Linked DNA regions of Cricetulus griseus. The protein of the gene in region 1 interacts with the protein of each later gene in a biochemical or structural test. Links are inferred from orthologs where the notes say so. Each region holds a gene or a part of one and is shown in the gene's direction. Other genes may lie near its edges.

What was found.
Region 2: the proteins of Satb1 (region 1) and Pias1 form a complex in vitro, tested with the Homo sapiens proteins (2 studies listed by BioGRID, with this or other methods). The link is inferred for Cricetulus griseus from reciprocal best matches to the Homo sapiens genes SATB1 and PIAS1.
Region 3: of the proteins of Satb1 (region 1) and Kat2b, one has a biochemical effect on the other in vitro, tested with the Homo sapiens proteins (2 studies listed by BioGRID, with this or other methods). The link is inferred for Cricetulus griseus from reciprocal best matches to the Homo sapiens genes SATB1 and KAT2B.

Annotation. Positions count from the first base shown.
Region 1 is NW_023276806.1:251,371,077-251,375,630, forward strand, and holds part of Satb1 (DNA-binding protein SATB1), read left to right. Parts: intron 1-1,716; coding exon 1,717-2,171; intron 2,172-4,554. UniProt on the Homo sapiens protein: Crucial silencing factor contributing to the initiation of X inactivation mediated by Xist RNA that occurs during embryogenesis and in lymphoma.
Region 2 is NC_048597.1:174,476,975-174,481,538, reverse strand, and holds the start of Pias1 (E3 SUMO-protein ligase PIAS1), read left to right. Parts: upstream 1-1,303; 5' UTR 1,304-1,361; coding exon 1,362-1,385; intron 1,386-4,564. UniProt on the Homo sapiens protein: Functions as an E3-type small ubiquitin-like modifier (SUMO) ligase, stabilizing the interaction between UBE2I and the substrate, and as a SUMO-tethering factor. Catalyzes sumoylation of various proteins, such as CEBPB, MRE11, MTA1, PTK2 and PML.
Region 3 is NW_023276806.1:249,711,812-249,716,373, reverse strand, and holds the start of Kat2b (histone acetyltransferase KAT2B), read left to right. Parts: upstream 1-1,015; 5' UTR 1,016-1,395; coding exon 1,396-1,644; intron 1,645-4,562. UniProt on the Homo sapiens protein: Functions as a histone acetyltransferase (HAT) to promote transcriptional activation. Has significant histone acetyltransferase activity with core histones (H3 and H4), and also with nucleosome core particles.

The DNA of each region.
Region 1 (4,554 bases):
TATTTCATATACAAAGCAGTATGCCCTATTATAAATCTTTATCACCGTTCCATTCACTTAATAGTAACAACAATAATAACTTTTCCTAAAGACTTAGCGACGAGACCCAAGTTTTGAGCATATTTTAGCTTTTAATATTTGAAGAAAGGCCATCCATCTACCAAAACAGATTCTTTGCCTTTTATAGCTTAGGGCTATAATGAAGACAATGCATCAAGTTTCGGAATAATTGCTTGAATTACTGTTTCATGTGAATGGCCCGCTTGGGCTGATATCACTGGTAGAAACTGAAGGTTTCTTTCCCTTCTCAGTTATATTCTGCATACATCTTGGAGTAAAACAATATGACCAGTTCCTCTGATTATAAAATCTGCACATTTAATGAAAAGAGAAATGAGTCTGTCCATAAGAAGGGTGGACATTTGAAAAGGCTTACCTGTTTATATTACACTCTCATTTTAGCCTCCCTCCAGTCTCTTATGTGTAACAGCACAGCGTTTGGCACACTTAGAGCTGACTCCTAGCCAATCCACACAAGTGCTCTAGCCAAGGGAGAGGAATTCATTCTGGGGAGGTGGAAATAAATTACAGAAACGTGACAGCATCACCATTGTACTAGGACAGCTCTCTGCCCCATCCTTAGCATCTGGTGAGAACCACACTTCTATTAAAAGCATTCAAGCCTTAGCCACACCGGGTGTGCTGGCTTACTCTATGTCTTCGCTTTGTCCTGAGAAGTATTTGCTGATACCCTTGTGTCCATGATTGGACTTAAATGAAACAAACCACATGTGATTCCGAGAGTGGCAGCCAGCTGTTGTGCCCACCTTATTACACGCTTATTTTGTAGCCTTCTTCTTTCTTTTGCCTGGATTGCTAGATTTAACATAATATGGAAGTATATCCAATATTTTTGTGTTTTAATCATAGTTTATCCACTTTTAGTTTAGCTCACGGTTTCTCGTTGCTGTTAAGCCTACAATATTCTTGTAGCCATCTTAAAAGAAACAGTCATTGCTTGTAAGCCTTCTTGTACTTGTAACTGAGAATCAGTAATAGTTTGATCCCTAAGCAAATATAAAAATGTGGATGTAGTAATTTTATGCCTTGAATGGGTGGTTCTCAACCTTCCTAATATAGTTCCTCATACTATTATGACCCCAATCATAAAATTATTTTTTGTTGCTACTTCATAACTGCAGTTTTGTTATAGTATTGTAAGTCATTTTGGAAATAGAGGTTTTCCAAAGAGGTCTCGGCCCACAGGTAGATAACCACTGCTGTAAATTTAAGCTGCATTTCAAAACAAGAACAGGAGCGCTGTCCTGCCCTTAGTGTGTGGGATTGTCTGTAGAGGGAAACACAGCCGTGGCCTGGGAGCTTGTGTCCTTAGTTATCTTGGCACCATTATTCTTCACTGCGCTCTCTCTCTCTCTCTCTCTCTCTCTCTCTCTCTCTCTCTCTCTCTCTCTCTCTCTCTGTTTCAGACAGGGTTTCTCTGTGTAACAGCCATAGCTGTCCTGGAACTCACTCTGTAGATCCAGGCTGACCTCAAACTCACAGAGATCCACCTGCCTCTGCCTCTGCCTCCCCAGTGCTGGGATTAAAGGCATGTGCCATCACCACCCGGGCTTTCTTTGTATTTCTCATGTTAGGAAATGATCAGAAAGTTTCTTATTGCTGTCTGAACTTGATTTTCCTTTTTTTCTACTTTAGTTGAAATGGATAGTCTGTCTGAACTATCTCAACAAGGCACCAACCACGTCAATTTTGGCCAGCAGCCGGTCCCAGGGAACACAGCTGAGCAGCCTCCATCTCCCGCACAGCTCTCCCATGGCAGCCAGCCCTCTGTCCGGACCCCTCTTCCAAACCTGCACCCTGGGCTGGTGTCAACACCTATCGGTCCTCAGCTAGTCAACCAGCAGCTGGTGATGGCCCAGTTGTTGAACCAGCAGTATGCGGTGAACAGACTCTTAGCCCAGCAGTCCTTAAACCAACAGTACTTGAACCACCCTCCCCCTGTCAGTAGGTCTATGAATAAGCCTTTGGAGCAGCAGGTTTCCACGAACACGGAGGTCTCTTCAGAAATCTACCAGTGGGTGCGGGATGAACTGAAGCGAGCGGGAATCTCCCAGGCAGTGTTTGCACGAGTGGCATTTAACAGAACTCAGGTCAGTTTTGTTCTGTTGTTCTACTGCCTCCTCTTGTGTCTTTGCTGAGCCCTATCTAAGCTCATGTTTTTCCTTTACTCTTTGTCAACCTCTGTTAACATGGCACCTCTGTTAAGTGTGGTCCCTGTGCCATCACTTCTGTCCCTGTGCCGTGCTCCTCTTCCAAGGGCACATCCTGGCATTGTCTGTATTCTCCTCATGGAATGGTAAGCTGTTAGTAATAGAAGGTGAGGAAGTGGCTAGCCTAGTGTTGTTTCTATGTTTCTGTTCATATCAAGCTTAAATACATTAATGTGCTTTGTTGAAATTCTTCAACTCTTTTGATACTATGCAGCTTAATAGTGATTGCATTTAATTCTCTGCAGCCGTTTCTTAGCCTTCTTCCATGATTTGTTCATGTTCTCCACACCTCATTCTTATTTTCCCCCATGTTTGTGGTAGAGTTATATGCATTGTACAAAGTGTGGTTTCTTTTCTTTCTCGCAGAGATCTGCCTGCCTCTGCCTCCCCAGTGCTGGGATTAAAGTCCTGTGCCACCACAGCTACCACTGCCTCCCAGCTGAAATGTGGGTGTTTATTTTTTTTATTTTTTATTTTTTTTGGTTTTTTGAGACAGGGTTTCTCTGTGGCTTTGGAGGCTGTCCTGGAACTAGCTCTTGTAGACCAGGCTGGTCTCGAACTCACAGAGATCCACCTGCCTCTGCCTCCCGAGTGCTGGGATTAAAGGCATGCGCCACCACCGCCTGGCTCTGAAGTGTGGTTTCTTATGGTACTTTGTGTACACATTGTGAGGCTTGGCCATGCTTCTAAGCACCTCTTCTTCTGATGCCCTTTTGCCCTTTGTCCAGAGTTCCTGGTTTATTTTGACAGATTTTACCTCACACCAGAGAAATCATGTTTCTTTCTTTTTTTTTTATGTGTCTATATAGTAAATATTTGAGGTCATAAACTCTGATCACACTGTAGATCACTAGCAATGGACAGTGGTGGGATGGGTGTGGCTTGGTGGCAATTCACTTGTGTCTATATCAGGCCATGTGCTGGGTTGGCTGCAGGCATTTAGTTTAGACTTCCCATTGAGGCCTACAAACATCCCCAGTGTTTACACTTTTTCCCTCCTGGGCAAATTCCTGTGAGACACAATCTTCTCTGCAAGAATAGTATCTCTAGTATTTATAAAGGTTTTATTTGTTTAGATGTTAACATAATACACGTGATGTTTATTTTTAGCCAAGGCACACTAAAATAAGAGGAACATTTAACTTTGAGGCTGTAATGTCTTCTCAGTTTTCTTGTTTTTACCTTGTTTTTTTTTTCTTTTTCTTCCTCTTCCTCTTCTCTTTTTTTGTTTTTTGTCTGACTCATTTTCCTTTCATCTTCAAGTTTTGTTTCTTTTCATCTTTATTTTGTTTATTATGATTGTGAGGATACAATTCTGATACAAAAGTAATTTAGTATTAATTCCTTGTTGGCAGTTGCTGAGCCTAGGAGAATGCCAGCTGTGATTTGTGTTTGACTGGCTTTGGTTAGACTGAGGGTCAGAAGACATGGTGGGGTTTTATAGGGCTCCTTCAAATTTTCTACAGCTGTTTTTCTAGTCATTATTGTTGTTTTTAAAAGGGTGGCTTTTGCACTGTGTTGTCTTAGGTTAAAACTTTGTATTTTTTAACTAAGATCTGTGTTTTTACAGCTTTAAAATTGTGTTCATTCTTAGCTGGTAAATTTAATATGACCCTTTAACTCAGTTGGGAGCAATAATTTTAAAAAAAATCAGTGAATCAAAAGCCACCCTCTAGAAATTCTGATTTGTGGTAGCATTCTTTATTTTGTAAATACAGTAATTACTAGTAATGCTTAGTCCTGGACCAAAAACTGCGACTCTACATAAAAGTCGGGTAATGTTTGTTGAATTCAATTAAAGGTCTTTAGACAAAGACAGCACTGACACAGAAGCAGATTATAGATTTACTGATAAGCCCTTGAAAAATTGAGCAAATAGTTGTATACTAAAACACACAGGATATGTGGTGTGTTTGTGTGTGTGTGTGTGTGTGTGTGTGTGTGTGTGTGTGTGTGTGTGTGTGTGTATGTGTGTGTGTGAGAAGAGTGGAGGGGGGACTCGGCACACTTCCTCATCATGGCTGTGAAGTGCTATCTGTCTGTCTGTCTGTACTTGGTCCTTACACACAACATTTGTGGTTATCTGTAGGATTTATTGCAGTAAGTGGTGAATTTTCTCTGGTTGTATGAATTAGTGTCTTTAAAAAGGCTGTTTTCTGTGCTTCCGATGAGGATTAGTGAGTTCATTTTTCTGAGCATGGACAACATGGTATAGTTTCATCCAGATACCACTTTTTATGCCTCTAAATGGACAATTTATAGA
Region 2 (4,564 bases), on another chromosome or scaffold:
CACATCAACTGGTAGCAGTTCCCTCTAGCCGATTAAGATAAGACCTAAGAGCTGAGAGTATGCTTTGCAAAGGTATAGATGAACAGTAATCTTGATAAGTGATCAAGAAGACAGCAGTGTAGCTGTATCAGGGAAGGTTAACAGGTCAGTGCCACTGAGGAAGTGGGAACAAATACTGTAGAAAAATGAAGTCATGTTTGCGAATTTATTCAGTGAAGAAAGCAGAGAAATACAGTAGCTACTGAGGAAATTTTGGATCTAAAGGAAGTTTAAATTTAAGTAAGAAGGAATTTGATAAGTTTATATGCTGATAAGAATGACTCAGTGGAGGAGGGGATAGTCAACTATAAAGACACTGAAGTAAAAACCTTAGGAATGGGAGTGAAAATAATCTAGGGCACTGGTCAGGACCTGGCCTTCTTGACTTCTGAGACACTTCAGAGTAACATAATGTTAAGAGAATTTTGATAGTGAAAAGTTGATCAGTATAAAAGGCTGGGGTTTTGCAAGATGTAGAGGAGTCGTTTAGTAGAGAGGAGTAGGCATGAAATAATCTTTCTTCAAGTCTAAATATCAATGTAGTTGTAGGAAACCCTTTTGGAGTTAAGCACATCTTCCCCTAAACCATTTTTCTCTATTAGTAAGCCTTTTGATCCTAATGCTATTCATCACCATTAATAATTATATCTTTATTAGTTTATATATCACAGGATAGTGATCTTGATTTCTGAACTCACAAGGCGAGGTGACGAATGGACGTCAGCAGAATTGTCTTTGGCCATCCCTGTTAAATGCTGTCTGAGCGAGTCCCTTTTCTCCTCTGAGCTTTTATTTCGGAAAAGATACCATGGGAATGATAATGATTTCTTTGACGATCTCACTGTTTCATCATAAGCATCTGCGTCAATAAAAACAGAAGCATCAAAACTGGCTAATTGTGGCTCACATGCAGTCGTGTACGGTGCAGGTGCGGAATGCGTCTAGCGGATGGGGTCGTTGCGGCTTCTGTCAACAGGGGCTCAAGCTTGGTCAGCCGAATAGCAGAAGGGCGAAGCTCAGGCCAACACCCCCAGCTGCGGCCTCTTTTCCGGACGCTCCTGGCCTGGCCGGTGTGGGGGCGGGGAGGCCGAGGTAGTAGTAACTGTCAAACCTCCCGCTTGGCGCCATTATTTAAATAGTACGTGCTGGTCTAGCATCTGTGCGTGCCCGGGGCGGGGCGGCGAGCTCCGGGAGCGGGGCGGCGGCCAGGGGCGGGGCGCGAGGGCTGAGGGGCGGGGTGGGGGCGGAGCCAAGTCAGCTAGAGGGGAGGGTTCAGAGCGGCCCCCGGCGAGCTTCACTGCGCTTGCGCTGACAGACGCAAGATGGCGGACAGTGCGGAACTAAAGGTAAAGCGCAGCTCGAATTCACTTCTAATATTCGGCCGTGGAGACGGCGCCGCTGGTGCCGGGGGGGATGGGTCGGACCCTGGGGGGGCCGCTCGGGCCGGGCTCCACCCGGGTCTGGAGTTGTAGGCGGGAGAGGCGCTCCGGGCCTCAGTGGAGGGGGCCTGGCTGCGGCGGGCCGTGGGCCCCGGGAGCCTCGGGGGCGCTGACGGGTCGTCCCCGGCGTGTTATTGTTGTGGGCGCCTCTGGCGGGGGTGGCGGGGCGAAGAGAGAGTGAGTCGGGACGTGGCGGTAGTGGCGGTCCCCGGGGCCCGGGTGCCTCACCTTGCAGCCCGCCTCCCCGCCCCCCCTACGGGCAGCCGGGGGCTGGGGGGGTAGGGTGCGCTTGGAAGGGGGGGATTGGGAAAACTGCCCCGCCGCCGCTTCCTCTTCCTCTTTCGCGGTCCCGGGCTCCTGTCAGGCGCTGTGCTCGGACCCCCGGGAACTTGGCTCCGGCCGCCCCGCCCCTCCGCGGCGCCCAGGCGCCCCCGCCCCGCTCGCCGCCGCTGCCCGCCTGTCAGTGGGTGCCGGGCCAGTGGGAAAGCGCAATCCTGGGGCGATCGGCGGGGGACACGGGGGAGAAGCTCTTGGAAAGTTTAGCGAGCCCGGAGCCGGCGTTGGGGGTTCGGTTAAAGGGTTGCAGGGGGAGTCTGCCGGGGCGGGACGTTACTGTTTCTCTCTTGGTTCCGGGCCACCGGGGTGGGTGGGGGAGTAACCCCCTGGAAGAGTGTGCATTTGGGAGCGGTGGTGGGGATGCAGCCACCTCTCTACTCTCTTGCTGTCGCTGGTGTGGTGGGTGAGAGCAGTCTTGGGGGTCTCTGCATACACCATGATGGCGATGCTATAGCTGATGGAGGTGAATGGTTTGTGTTTATATCCCCCCGTTGCCTTTTGTTTGTTGGGGACATCTTGCTGGCCATGTTGATTTAAACGAAATTCTCCTCCCACCCCCCATCCTACTCCAACCTCCAATAAATAGAATGTTCCATCGTTCCTCTCAACTGTACCAATTACTCATGCCTCGCGAAATTAGATGAAAGGGTGCCCCCTTTCCCCCGCTTTTTCTCCCACCCTAATCTTTACCTGATGATGGTTTCTTTACCGAAGCAGATATACCACTACACAAACAGTTGGGGGAGGGCTGGTGGAACCCTTATGATTGGATTGTGACAAATGGGGCTTCGCTTGAATAATTTTGGTTTAGTAGCAGGCAGTTCTTAACTAACACATATTATTTTGAGGCTCTGAACACGGTATTCCCTTTTCTGGCTTCCTGTGTGCGAACCAAACAGCTGGTTATAGCCCAACAGAGAACTAACATCTCTGTCAGAGTGGAGATTGGGCTATGCAATTGTAAATCTTAAGGGGGATTTAGAAATTCTTTTTGTAATCAATCATTTTTTTTTCCATTATGATGAAATAACTTCTAGAATAAGCAGACCACTACATTTGTTTCTGGGCACTTTTGTGTGTGGAAAAACCTCACTGGAAGATCCTTTTTCACTAGTAACTTTGTAGTGTTAACATTCCAAGATTTTTGTATTAAGATCTTTGTACAAGATTTGGATATTTGTTCTTTTAAGTTTACTTCTAATTATTAACTTTTTAAAAACAGAATGGGTTGAATGGAGAGTTCCTTTTGTTTGTTTGTTTTAAAGACAGGTTTACTGTGCAGCTCAGGTTGGCCTGGGACTCACGGTGTAGACCACGCTAGTTTTGAACTAGTAGAGATCCTCCAGCCTCTACTTCTCTAGTGCTGGGATTAAAGGCATCCACCACTATGCCCTACTTGGAAAATTTCATTTATCCCAATTTCATACTATTGACTGAGAAAGCCTCAGAAATTTGAAATTTTTTGGAGATACTCAACTTGCAATTAAAAACAAGCTGAGTGATGGTGGCATGTGCTTTTACTCCCAGCACTGGGGAGGCAGAGGCTGGAGGATCTCTGAGTTTGAGGCCAGCCTAGTCTACAAAGTCCACTTTTATGTTTCCATTGGTGTGTCATTGTGCCTGAGACTTCGAGGAACTGTGATAGATTTCTTAGCTGGCTCTATTAAAACTTTTAGTAATGCTTCATTGTGGTTAGGATTACTATTCTTTTTGGGGGAGTAAGAGAGGTGATAACAGGAATGCCTGCCATAGTTACTTAAGCATGCATACAGGCCTGGCAGTGGTGGTGCACACCTTTAACCTTAGAACTGGGGAGGCAGAGGCAGGCAGGTCTTTGAGTTCAAGGCCAGCCTGGTCTACAGAGTTCCAGGACAGGCTCCAAAGCTACAGAGGAACCCTGTCTTGAAAAATCAAAAAAGAATGCTTATAAATTTTTTGTGCAGTGAATTTAGGAAGACATTCCTTTATTCCTTTTAGAAATATTTTTTTCAGGGTGTGTGTGTGTGTGTGTGTGTGTGTGTGTGTGTGTGAGAGAGAGAGAGAGCGAGAGAGAGAGAGAGAGAGAGAGAGAGAGAGAGAGATTGATTTTTGGAGGTGAATATCGTATATTCTATAAAATAGGGAAAATCCTAGATTATTAAAAAACTTGTAAATGGAGATACCTAACTCTAATGGGAGCCACTGAGCAAATACTGATCCCCCCTCCTCTTGTCCCAATTCACAGCCCACATTTGACTATGCTGTGGATTATAACTACTTTCCTAATGGCCCTTTTAGTGAATCCTTTTCAATCTATAGTGAATCTGCAAAGATCAGATGGGAAAAGCAGATCTGTATTCCCTGTAGGGATAGTGCAAGCTTGGAGATATTGCCAGTGTAAACTAGATTGTGAGTCACACATATCAAAATGAGTTCTCTGTGCACTTTTACTTATGAAAAGTTTAATTTTTCATTAGGGGAATACCCACAAGTGACATCTGTGAGGCTATGAAGGTGAGACTATGAAGGTGAAGGCACTTCAAGTAGGCAGACCAAGTGATCTTGGTAGTGATAACCTGACAGTTTCTTTGTAGCTCCTCTGATTTGATTTTTTTTTTTTTTTTTTTAACACAGTCTCTGTAGCTGTGGCTAGGCTGAAAACTTGTTTTGTAGACCAGGCTGACCTCCAACTAACAGAGATGGAACTGCCTCTGGATTGTTGAGATTAAAGGTGTGTCACCATGCCTAGCTGTAGATCCTTTAAAAATATT
Region 3 (4,562 bases), about 1.7 Mb from region 1:
AAGGCCAAGACTAGGAAAGGACACTGGTCAGATGTAACCTAGTAAGAGGCTGCCATTTCACAGCAGCGGGCTTCACTGCTTGCAGAAGAGAAGGGACTTCCTTTTCCCTGGTGTAGCATCACCATTAGAAACTGTTAACTTTTAACCACCCTGGTTAAAAGGGCACAGGATCTGGAAGGGGGGAATCTCTAAAAGCAAATTGCAATAAACAGGACGAGCAAGGGAGGATTTACAAGGGAAAGCACATCCCTTATGGCTGGAGTTTGGCAGGAGCTATCAAGCTTTGGAGACAACCAATCACAAATACATTACGACCCATGTCACACATTATGGCCATGCTTGCTCTGCAGAATTAGGGCACTTGCCAGTCAATGCAGGGCTTTTTAGGAGTCGTTTTAGGAGGGTGAACCCATGATGAAAACCTTAAATACCCTGCCATCAGCGATAGGAAAAATAGTTTTGCTTATGAATTTTAAGTCAAAATCAGCATTACTCCCGGACACTGTTTCCAGTTAACAAGCACGCCGTAACCCTGACCCGGGTGAACCCTGCAGGCAGACCCATTTCAAACTTTTTCCACGCACTTGGCTTTCATTTTGCCGACCCGTAACGTACTGTAACCAGTGTGTGTGTGTGTGTGTGTGTGTGTGTGTGTGTGTGTGTGTGTGTTTGTGTGTGTGCGTGTGTGTGTGTGTGTGTGTGTGTGTGTTTGTGTGTGTGCGCGCGCGTGTGTGTGTTTAACAGAATCCATTTGAGGTTTTCTTTGGGCAGATTCGGTTCAGAAATTACCAGGGGAAGAGGATGGGGAAAAATTCTTAAAAGAAAAAGTTTGACCCAAAGTCCCTTACAAAAGAAAGAAAGAAAGAAAGAAAGAAAGAAAGAAAGAAAGAAAGAAAGAAAGAAAGAAAGAAAGAAAGAAAGAAAGGGAACCCTTCACGCCATGGTTTCGGTGAATTAGCAACAAAGAGGAGGATTGGCCGCTGACGGATACTTCTGGAAAACATTTTTTCCTTCGGCTCCCGCTAGGGTGGAGGAAGTTGGGTCTCGGTGCGGGAGGGTGTCAGCCCAGGAACGCCGCAGCGCAGGGCGGCAGGTGCCTGGGCTGCAGCGGCCCGGCCTCTCGTGTCGCGGGTCACCCACGGGCCCTGGCGCGCCGGGCCGGTGGCCACGCTCGCAGCAACATGCCGGCGGCCCAGGGGAGCAGAGCGCGGCCCGGGCGCTCAGGCCCGCTAGCGTCCTAGCCACCCCGGGCCGCTCCGGGGCCTGCGATCGCCCGCGGCGGAGCGCGGCGGGGGCGGGGAGGCCTCAGGGCGGCGGCTGGGAGGGGGGGTGGTCTCGGCTCCGCCACTGGCGCCCGCGAGGACCCTGGCGGCGACGTGTGACACTCGGGGAGGCATGGCTGAGGCTGGCGGGGCCGGCCCCCCCGCACTGCCGCCCGCGCCCCCTCACGGCTCCCCCCGGACCCTGGCCACCGCCTCTGGGAGCTCTGCTTCCTGCGGGCCAGCGACCGCTGTGGCCGCGGCGGGCACAGCCGAGGGACCGGGAGGCGGCGGCTCGGCCCGGATCGCCGTGAAGAAGGCGCAGCTGCGCTCCGCTCCGCGGGCGAAGAAACTAGAGAAACTCGGCGTGTACTCGGCTTGCAAGGTACCTGCTGGGACGCGCGCGACCGCGGGGTCACGGCCGGGCCCGGACCCCTCCTCTCCTCTCCCCTCCCCCACCCCGCTCGGTCCTCTCGCGGGCACCGCGGAAGTGCTGCACTCGTTGCGCGCGCTTCGCCGCTGCGGCTTGCACAGCGTCCCGCAGGGGTGGGGGCTCATCCTGATCTGCCCGTCTCTTTCTTCTGGGAATGATGAGTCTTGGCTTCCAAGTGCCGGGGGATACCCTGGGGCTTTGTTGCTCTGTAGGAGTTCGCGGGGGACCTTTCAAGGGTAGCAGAACTGTGCTTGGTGTGGCGAACCAGTCGCTGCTGGGAAGCATCTTTTTTTGGGGTGGGGGGATCAGAGTGTGTTTCCCTGCGCTTGCCCTCCCCACTGTGCCTCGCTTGGAGGAGCTGGGTTCCGAGTCAGCGCGCGCCGGAGAGTCCCGGAATCCTGGCTTTCTGCTGGAGCGTTGGGGCGGAGCGCGGGGTGGGAGGTGGGCACAGCCCCACGCCCAGGTCCTTGGCGCCTGGTGGCTTTGGCCTCGAGGCCACAGGCCTGTCATTTTTGTGTTATTATTTGTTTAGTGAAAGAGCCATCCTGGCCGTTTAGGGTGTAAACAAGGTCTGGCAAGGTGACAGCCCAGGCGGCGGACACTTCTCAGTTTGAAGACAGTTTTCTTGCCTTTCTCCCTCCCCGAGGGCTCCTGGCATCCTGGAGTCTCCAGTTGGAGATGCACGTGTAAGGGTCTCCGCTCCCTAGCTCCCTAGGCCGCAGGGGAGACTGGCCAAGCGCTGTAAGCAGCGGCTTTGTTTTGACAGGGTGACAGCAAAAGGGGGCGGGGACTTGGTCTTGTCTGCTTTGGCGGCTTGTAGCTGGGTCCAGGAAGAGGCGCACTCACTCACGCCTCCCTTGTTACTGCAGCCTGCTGCAAAAGGGGTCAAGTTCCCGGCATCCGCTTCTCACCCCACCCCCTACAGCGAGGGTGGATTAGCCTAGTAGAAGACATTCCTCCCGGGGAAGGCTGGTTTCAGTGTTTACTGGAGCCCCGGAGGGCCTTGGGTGGTCTCCTGCGGGCCCTTTCCCAGCGGCCACCTCCTGTTTAGGTCTTGCAGTCGCTCTGCCTTTTGAGGAGGCTCTAGCGCGGTGCTTTATGTACAGTGGTGTGCGCTGGAATTGCTGAATAAGCTGGTGGAAATGCTGATGCTGAATCAGGTCTGGGGTGGGCGTTTGAGGACCTGCATTTCTAACAAAACCCCGGGAGATGAGAGTGGTAATTGAGAATGCTTTCCACGAAGCAAGTATATTATTACTTTTGAATTTTGTAGAGGAGCTGTGAAATACTGACGTCACGTCATATTTTATATCATAAGGAGTGCAGAAAGTTGAATCATGAGTATTCGTCTAAGAAACGGGAAAGGTCTGGAGTTCTACTCCAATAGCTACAGACTAGCGAATGCAGAACCTCTGGTGTACCACGAAGTCACATGGAAGAGAGTAGCAGACAACTCAGAGCAAGCTCAAGGATTTAATACAATAGACTTGGCTTTTGCAGCTGCTCTGGGCTCATTCAGAAACCCAGTCAGCTATGAGTTCTGCCTGGGATTCAGTATGTTTCCCGAGTTCCCATCACCAGCTCCCAGCCTCCTGCTTCCCATACAGCCTGCTGTTGTATAGTATCTGAAACTTTCCTGATGTTGCAGGCATGCTATTAAAAAAAATCCCCATGAAGCCCAGGGTGGCCTTGAATTCCTCCTGTCTGCCTAAGATTACAGCCCTATCACCATGCTCCTCCACTGGCCTTGAGGTTTTCCTGAGTATTGAAACATCAAGTGTATAACTTTAGTATTTCTTGGTCATATTTTCTGACAAACTAATAGGAAAGGAAAACCTGTTATTTAAGCCCTTTCTTCCTGCTTCTGAGAAGCTTAGAAAGTTTAGTGTGTGTGTGTGTGTGTGTGTGTGTGTGTGTGTGTGTGTGTGTGTGTGTGTGTGTGTGTGTGTTCTCCTTACTTCCACGTGGGTTCTGGGATTTGAACTCAGCTTGTCAAGCGTTTGAGATGAACACTTCACCTCCTGCAGGAGTCATCTCATCAGCCTGAATTTGTGCATTCTTATTTGCTGATTTCTTTAGTGAATGCTAAGAGGAATTCTAACTGGGAACCAAGTTGGGCTTATGACACTAAGCTCTGTCTTTGGAGTTGTTGATGGAGTGTGTGGGTGTTGAGATTCTGGGTAAAAGCAGTGAGCCATTACAATGGAGTCCAGTGAAGCCTTTGAGTGTAGGGGTTGGGAGGTGAGGAACTCAGGAGCTACAGCTCCAGTGGGTGACTTCCTGGAGGATGTACCATCCTGATTTGCAACTTTTGGCTGCCTGGGGTTGGGTGGGGTAGGGTTTCTTGCTGTGAAGAGAAACTGAAAGCAGTTTTGAAAGCTTGGAGCTGGGCCAGCCAGAGCCAGTCCTTTGCTCCTACCACTAGGTTGGGGAAAGGGTGGGTGTGGCCTAGTGAGTACTTCCGGATCCAGGACTAACCTGGGGGGACATTGTCTTAGATTTAAAAAACGATTTATTTTATTTTCAATTATGTGTGTGCACATGAGTGCTTAGATTACTGTGTTTTCTTTAGACTGGGTTAGTTGGGTTTGACAAGGCTTCCTGCATAATATGTGACTTTTTTTCAGTTTGTCTTTGTACTTAATATGAGCAAGCCATAAAAACTCCACCTTTGTCAATGGCTCCTGGCCCAGTGGGAGAGTAAGGAAGCTGGAAAAGTTGAGTCTGTGAAGACATAGTTTCCTGGGGGACACCGGAAGAAGAGCAGGCCTGGAGACCTAGACAAGATCTGGCCCAGAGAAAAGGGAAAAGTCTGTGTAACAAACAAACTTGTTTTACAGGCTCCAGCCTAGAGTTATTTGAACTGTGTG